Macaca fascicularis: one gene and its partner. The protein of the gene in region 1 purifies or fractionates together with the protein of each later gene. This does not show direct contact. Links are inferred from orthologs where the notes say so. Each region holds a gene or a part of one and is shown on either strand. Other genes may lie near its edges.

Region 1 (4,023 bases):
TAATCCCAGAACTTTGGGAGGCCAAGGCGGGTGATCACCTGAGGTCAAGAGTTTGAGACCAGCCTGGCCAATATGGTGAAACCCCAACTCTACTAAAAATACAAAAATTAGCTGGGCGAGGCAGTGGGCTCCTATAATCTCAGCTACTCAGCGGGGCTGAGGCAGGAAAGTCGCTTGAACCCAGTTGGCAGAGGTTGCAGTGAGCCGAGATCACGCCAATCCAGCCTCGGCGACAACAGGGAAATTCCATCTCAAAAAACAAACAAACAAAAAAATTGCAACACGAGTTAAGCACTTTTATATTTTTAATGAAGCATGAAAAAGTTACTCTGTAAGTAATCTTACTAAATTAAGATAAAATACCAAAACATATGCGGCATACTAAGGACCATATATGTTGGTGATTGCAAAAAGTAATATATCTTCCAGGAGTTAACTGTTCACTCTAGAACAGATTTCCTTATTTTTGAGATGGAGTCTCGCTCTGTCGCCCAGGCCTGAAGTGCAGTGGCATGATCTCTGCTCACTGCAACTTCTGCCTCCCGAGTTCAGGCAATTCTTCTGCCTCAGCCTCCCGAGTAGCTGGAACAACAGGCGCGCACCACCGCGCCCGACTAATTTTTAGTAGAGACGGAGTTTCACCACACTGGCCAGGCTCGTCTCGAACTCCTGACCTCATGATCCGCCAGCCTCGGCCTCCCGAAGTGCTGGGATTACAGGCGTGAGCCACCGCGCCTGGCCTAGAATAGATTTCTTGACTCAAGTTCTAAAATAATAGGATCCAAGTAATTACACACAATACTGGTACTTTTAAGACCATCTTTCTTTTGGATCAAGACCCACAAAATAGCAAAAATATCCAAAGTTGTGCTTATTAGGGTTCAATGCAATTAACTATTGTACATAACATAATTTTACCTTAATTTTCCTTCCCATGGAAAACTGAGTCAAGTTTGAAACAAATAAAAGAGTTCTCACATACAAAAAAAAGTTCTCACAGCTCTAAACCTTAGAGATAAATGCTGTTTTGATGATATATATTTATATCTATGCACACACATATGTATATGTGCATGTATATATATGTATTACATATACGTTTGTATACACACACAGTTAAGTTCATCCTGATACTACGGCCATATTCATTTTCTACTGAAAATATAAGACTTTCAAGTAATCAAAGAGAAATGTGATTAAATCAGAGCAAAGTAGTAATAACAGGGTAACACAGTGAGGTCAGAACTCGACCAGCCAATCAAAGGCATAAAAGCATTTCCTGCAATATTAATAGTCAAAAGAGAAAACCAATCACGGAAACCTCGAGCTTCCTTTTGACAGCCACAGAAGCAAGAGAACCAATCCACACACACCCGAGGTTGACAATAAGGCGGGACTGCAGGTTCATTGAAGAAATTCTTGAGGGTGCAGTTACTATGAACTTCGCAAGCAAGTAACACCACTCGAGTCATAAACACTCTCTGTTAAGCCAGATATTCAACCGTCTGCAAAATTTAACCCATCGGAGAAAAAGCAGCAGTTTTCCCAAAAGGTGCTGTATTATCAAAATTACAACTGCCAATTTAGATGCACTAAGTCCTCAACTTCTAAGGATCACCTCGCAATGACAATTCTCGAGGACAACGCTACGCCGGCAGCTCGCTCCGGGGCATCCCCGGCTCCTCTCTAACACTGCGCACGGAGCACGGCCGTCTCGGCGAAGCTGTCAGAGCCCGTCCACCCCGCGCCCGGCTCGGGTCGGGTCGGCTGAACTGGCCGGCGGGCGGCTCTCGGACGCTACTACCCGGTCGGTAGTCGTGGTCCCCGCCCTCCCCCGCCGCAGTGCTGTACCGCCTCATCCCGCTGCACCGTCGCGGGCGGGGAAGCCAGGATGATTACACTGCTGGGAGGAAGATGTTTGTTTTGAAAGCGCCCTTCTACAGTCATTTCAAAGAGAACCCAATACAAAATTTAAAAGTGGAAAAAATAATCATCTTGCCTAGCCAAATAACACCCCGCCATTAATTAGCCCCGCGCCTGGGGGAGGGAGGTGGGAAGGTAAACAGAGACCGTACGCCAAGTGCGGCCAGCGCATCCCCTGCGCCATTCCCGGCCGCCGCTTACGGCAAGGCCCCCTTACGGCAGCGTAAGCAGCGCTGCGAGCTAATCACAACACTGGGACGCAACAACATGGCGGCCGCGGGCGGGCGCTACGCCAGCCGAGAGGGTTTACGCTACTCCGCCGGCGTAGAGTCCCGTGCGTTAGAGCAGCAGCGGCGCCCTCCAGCGAGCGTAAAGCGCTCTGTGAATGGCGAGGCCCGACTGACAAAGGGGAGGGGGGAGGAGGGAAGGGGGGGTAATAAACACTCGAGTCCCTACCGATTCCTCCTCCTTCTCCATCCCGGTGGGCATCTGGGGCACGGCCCGGTTGATGGAGACGCAGTCGTTGAGATCAGGCATGTCCTTGCCGCGGTAGATAGGCAGCGGCTTGGCGGCGTCCAGCGCCCGCGCTCGGAAGGAGAGTTTACTCATTGTCTCCCCGCCTTACAGGAACAGCCCGGGCGGCGGCGGCGGGGCGGGCGGGGAGGGGGGGAGGACTCCCGCCGCCTCCTCCACCTCCTTCCTCAGTGCAGCGCGGCCGGCCCGCTCCTCCTCCTCCTCACTGCCCCCGGCCACAGCATGGGCGCCCACCCCGCCCGAAAACAGCCCCCCGCCGCCCGCGGCCGCTTCCACACACTAGATCCGCCGCTCGCCCGCCCGATCCGCTCCCTGCGCCATGGCCAACATGGCGGACATTACCACAGCGGCGGCGAGCGATCCCGGCAGCCCGCGCGAGAGCGCGCCCCCGCCGCGGGAACGCGCCTCGCCCTCTCCCTCCCTCCCTCCTTCCTCTCCCTTCCCCTCCCTTGCCTGCCCACCCACTCTCTACGCGGCGCTGCCGGCCCGCGGGAGCGTGCTGGTCTCGGTCCGCTCCAGGCAGAGGGGGCGGCTGCGGCGCCCCTCCGCTCGCCGGCCGGTGCTTTCGCTGTGTGGCAGGTGCCAGGTGCGCAAGTTCGCCCGCGCCCGGGAGCGTGCGCCTCTGCCTCCGCCGCCCGGTCATCCCTCTCGCTGGGTGTCCCGCAGGAAGGCGCCGGGCAAAGACTGCTGCGCTGAGCAGCGCGTGTGTGCAGAAGTCCGGGAGCGGGAAGGGAAGATGTCGACCCGGACCCCACTAGCCATCACCCAAGCCTGTACTCGGACAGCGCTTATCCCCCAAGGCGCCCTGAGCGCAGGCTAATTCGCATCCTCCGAGGCGCTCATCCCGGAGAGGTGCGACAGGTCTCTCCCATCACTCTGCTCCGAGGGGCGCCGCGCTGCTGGTGCCAGCCCTCTCCGCCGCCCTCCCCTCCGTACCTGTCCGAAAGAGCTCTCCAAGGTGCAGCAGCGCGCTAGTCCTCGGCTTCGCGAGGAGGACGCTCAGGGCAGCAGTAAGGGTTCATGGTTTGAGGCTGCCAGATGCAACAAGTGAACTTAGGTTCCCTGTCACCGAAACTTCGGTACAGCTGTTTAGTGGATGGTAGGTATTTCTCTGAGTTCAAAAATAGTAGCTTTACTAAAAGTTCAGCTTCTAAAAATTTAACCAAGGCAGCACACATTTGCGAAGTAGCAGATGTGTGTCAAATGTGGGGTGCTGTGGAAGACTCGAAGAAGTCTGAGAAAAGGTTCCTGCCTCAGAGAGCTTTCACCGTAATGGAATGCCAGGACTGCTGGAAAGATGAGTAACAGTAAGAGATGTAAATAGTTAAAGAAAATGACAGCTGGAAAGATAAATGACAACCGAAAAAAAAGTGTAAATATTTTAAGAAAACAATACAAGAGATGACACAGGCAGTAAGTAGGACATGATTAATTACCAAACGAGATCTAGGCAATAATTGTGAGAGTTCAGAGAAAGGAGGCATGACTACAGCCTAAACAGGTTAGAGAAAGTTCTCAAGAGGAGGGAAAATCAAGGTGACTCAAATAAGTACTAGCTATTGTTGA
Region 2 (3,500 bases), on another chromosome or scaffold:
ATTTACAATCCTAATTAGTTTTTCATACAAAAGTAGTAGTGTAATTTCCTCTGGATGTAAGAATATCACAGTGATCTTCAGAGAAACAGAGTGGGAAGGGGGCAAGGTGGCCTAATACATTGTGAAGGAGGGAAAAGCTAAAGAACGTATCCTAAAATGGCAAAGAAAACCCCCAAACAACCAACAACGGAAACAAACAAGAAAACCCCCATAGGTGCAAAAATATTAGCAAACAGAAGAAGAAGAAAACAGAGCTAGGTAACAAAAGTCTCACCTAGGTTTTCAACATACAAGACATTTTAAAGAATGCTGATTAGAGAAAACAATTTAGTCTAAAAGCAATAGTTAGCATATAGCAGAACACATGCCAAAGCAGGTATAACTTTGGCTTTGAAGCTGTATGATCTGATCTGTACTCAGGCCTGAAGTTCATCATGCCTAAGTGAAGTCCTCATACCCTATGATAATACCATGCTTGTTCTTAGTAATTAAAAAGGGCAAAGCCTTCTGTAGTCTTCCTTATAATCTACTACCTTGGCCTAACCAATTAAACTCAAATCAAATGCCACTGACTACTTAATCACTATACATACATAATCATGAACTTATGGAAATAAAAAAATTACGCAGGTATTCAATTTCCAAATTTGTTATTCAACTAAGATTGTGATCAATGTTACTGCCAAAACTAAAATTAAACTGGAACTGAAAACACATCCTTTCCATGAATGAGACACTATGAAATGTTATGAACAAAGCCTTTTCTGTCTTTTTAATCGGACTTATCCCTAATGACACACTTTGTTCCCAGGTCAAGTCACATACAATTCTGCAATGCGGAATGTTAAAAAACCATGAAATATTCCAAGTTGTCTCACAATTCCAACTACCCTTATTTGAAGCTCGGAACTATTTTATAACAAAGTAAAAATCCTTCCCTGACGTTTGGTCTTAGTGAAGTGACTACTAAGGACTAGTGAAATGAATTCTTTAGTTGAAAGAAAAAGAAAAAAAATCCAATGAGTCAGCATCTGTCATGCCAGACCATGCTTTGTCTCCCACCACCCTACCCAGTACTTTTACCCTCTGAAGTACCTGAGATGCTGATGTGACTAATTACCTGTTTTGAGGCTGGGACTGAACTCTCGGCTAGTGCTGGGAGGTGGGAAGGCCTCCGGGGCTGTCTGTGCTGGAAGGGTTCGATATGGAGGAGGAGTCAACTCTTCGTCACCAGAGAAGCTCCTCCGCACCCCACCTGTCATGGGCAGGCTCGACAAACTGACAGGCTTCTTCCCAATTGGCATCTTCCTCTCTAAATATCAAGTCAGACTAAAGTAAGCTTTCACTTACATGTGTGGTAAGAAAAGTGCATTATATAACTAGGAAAGCTGTGCTGCACAGGACACTCTGAAAAGAGAACCAATTATGCAAAGTTTGTATTTCTGAAAACAAGGAAGAGAGAGTGAGTGTGTGTGTTGGGGGAGATTGTTTCTACTCTCTGAGAGTCTGGTAATACTAGTTCTGACTCTCAAATTTAAAACAAGACAAAGTAAAATGAATTACAGAGAGCTTTAAGAACAGCTGGCTAATTTCTTTCAAGAACATCTCTGCTTGAGATGGGGTAAAAACCCAAAGGAAGAAAGAAAGCATCTTAAAACACTACTTTTAGGGTAGCATTTCATAGCTCATATAAGCCCAAACACTGGTTGGAGAAATCAAAGTAAAACAGTTTAAATGTATTATCTGGGTGTAGGATGTTATTGGTATGAAATGTGCTCCCCTAACTTTTTAGTTCACAATTCACTCTTTTAGAAAACACAATTCTTGTTCTAAAAAGTACTTCCAAATTCAAAGCTTACTGCCTGCACATTCTTAAGCAATCTGATTTCTTCTGAAACAAATTTATCAGGCTGGGCATGGTGGCTTATGCCTGTAATCCCAGCACCTTGGGATGCCAAGGCAGAAGAATGAGGATGGTTTCAGGCCAGGAGTTTAAGAACAGCCTGGGCAACAGAGTGAGACCCATCTCTACAAAAAATAAAAAAAATTAGCTGGGCAATGCCAGAGTCTGAGGTGGGAGATTTGCTTGAGCACAGGGGTTCAAGGCTGCAGTGAGCTATGATTGCACCACAGTGCTCCAGGCTGGGCAATAAAGTGAGACCTTATCTTAAAAAAAAAAAAAAAGTATCACACCCTTCAGCTATAGTTTCCTATACAAATATAATCCTTTCAAGACACATATAATGCTTTTGCCAACCAAAAAAAAAATACTCTGAACTCTGCAAATATTGAAGAATCAAGTATAGTACATTAATCATATTGAAAGTTGAAGGATCAGCAGGGTACAGTGGCTCATGCCTGTAATCCCAGCACTTTGGGAGGCTGAGGCAGGTGGATCACTTGAGGTCAGGAGATCAAGACCAGCCTGGCCAACATGGCGAAACTCTGTCTCTACTAAAAATATAAAAATTAGCAGTGAGTAGTGGTGCATGCCTGTAATCCCACTACTTGGGAGGCTGAAGCAGGAGGATCACTTGAACTCGGGAGGCGGAGGTTGTGGCGAGCCAACATTACACCACTGCACTCCAGCCTGGGAGACAGAGCAAGATCCTGTCTCAAAAAAAAAAAAAAGTGGAAGGATCCTTATCTTTGTGACTGAGTTATGTCTGTTTTCTTCCAGATGATAGAATAAACCAAGTAAGAGCAATAAAAAATTACGCTTCACAAAATCAAAACTAAAAGATAATAAGCCACACAGTATTCCTATGTAAAATGATGTGGGATTTAAGCTGTTATTGAGTAGATTCAATTCTCAAGAGCCAAACCAAAATCACATGCAGCAAAAACTTCAGACTTTTTCCTAATATACTACATACTCAAGAGATAAAAACGCAAGGAGTAATGTCCAACTCTTACTACTTACAGTAGTCCCTGAAAATGGTGAGATTTAAAGCAGAAACCAGTGCTGCTTTTCCCGCTCTAGAATTACCACATCTTAAGGAAAAGAGGCTTTTGAGACTAGAGAGTGTGTATGATCCTTGTGGCAGAACCTTATACTTATTCTCAAAAGTGTTAGTAATTATCCATCCTTCGTGGCATGAACACAACCTACTACAAAGCAAGCTAGACCAATGAAGCTCATCAGCTGTTTCTGCACAATAAGCACTACCAAAGAATATACCACTAACAGATGATCTTAAGTTCAAAAAGACCAACAAGCTATACGATGAAACAACAGAGCCAGAATATGATAATTTATCAAGGCAAACGTAAAAACAAACAAAAGGTTTTATAGCCCATCTGATATTGATATCAGTTTGCCTGCAATGGATGACAGGTTTCTAAACCCCAAATACTTATTTGTGTAACTAAAGCTTAGTGAGAAAACTTTCTAACAAACTGTTTGCTGACTAATAGAAAAAAATAAGAGGAGGCGGCACCATGAGTGAAAGCTGCTGCTTGATGCGGCACTACACTTCCTTATCCTCAATTCCAACATT

The links.
Region 2: the proteins of EPC2 (region 1) and MBTD1 purify together in Homo sapiens (affinity purification with mass spectrometry; 3 studies listed by BioGRID and IntAct, with this or other methods). This does not show direct contact. The link is inferred for Macaca fascicularis from reciprocal best matches to the Homo sapiens genes EPC2 and MBTD1.

Annotation. Positions count from the first base shown.
Region 1 is NC_088386.1:44,214,531-44,218,553, reverse strand, and holds the start of EPC2 (enhancer of polycomb homolog 2), read right to left. Parts: upstream 2,801-4,023; 5' UTR 2,533-2,800; coding exon 2,380-2,532; intron 1,834-2,379; exon of another isoform or gene 1,619-1,833; intron 1-1,618. UniProt on the Homo sapiens protein: May play a role in transcription or DNA repair.
Region 2 is NC_088390.1:55,519,166-55,522,665, reverse strand, and holds part of MBTD1 (MBT domain-containing protein 1), read right to left. Parts: intron 1,313-3,500; coding exon 1,121-1,312; intron 1-1,120. UniProt on the Homo sapiens protein: Chromatin reader component of the NuA4 histone acetyltransferase complex, a multiprotein complex involved in transcriptional activation of select genes principally by acetylation of nucleosomal histones H4 and H2A.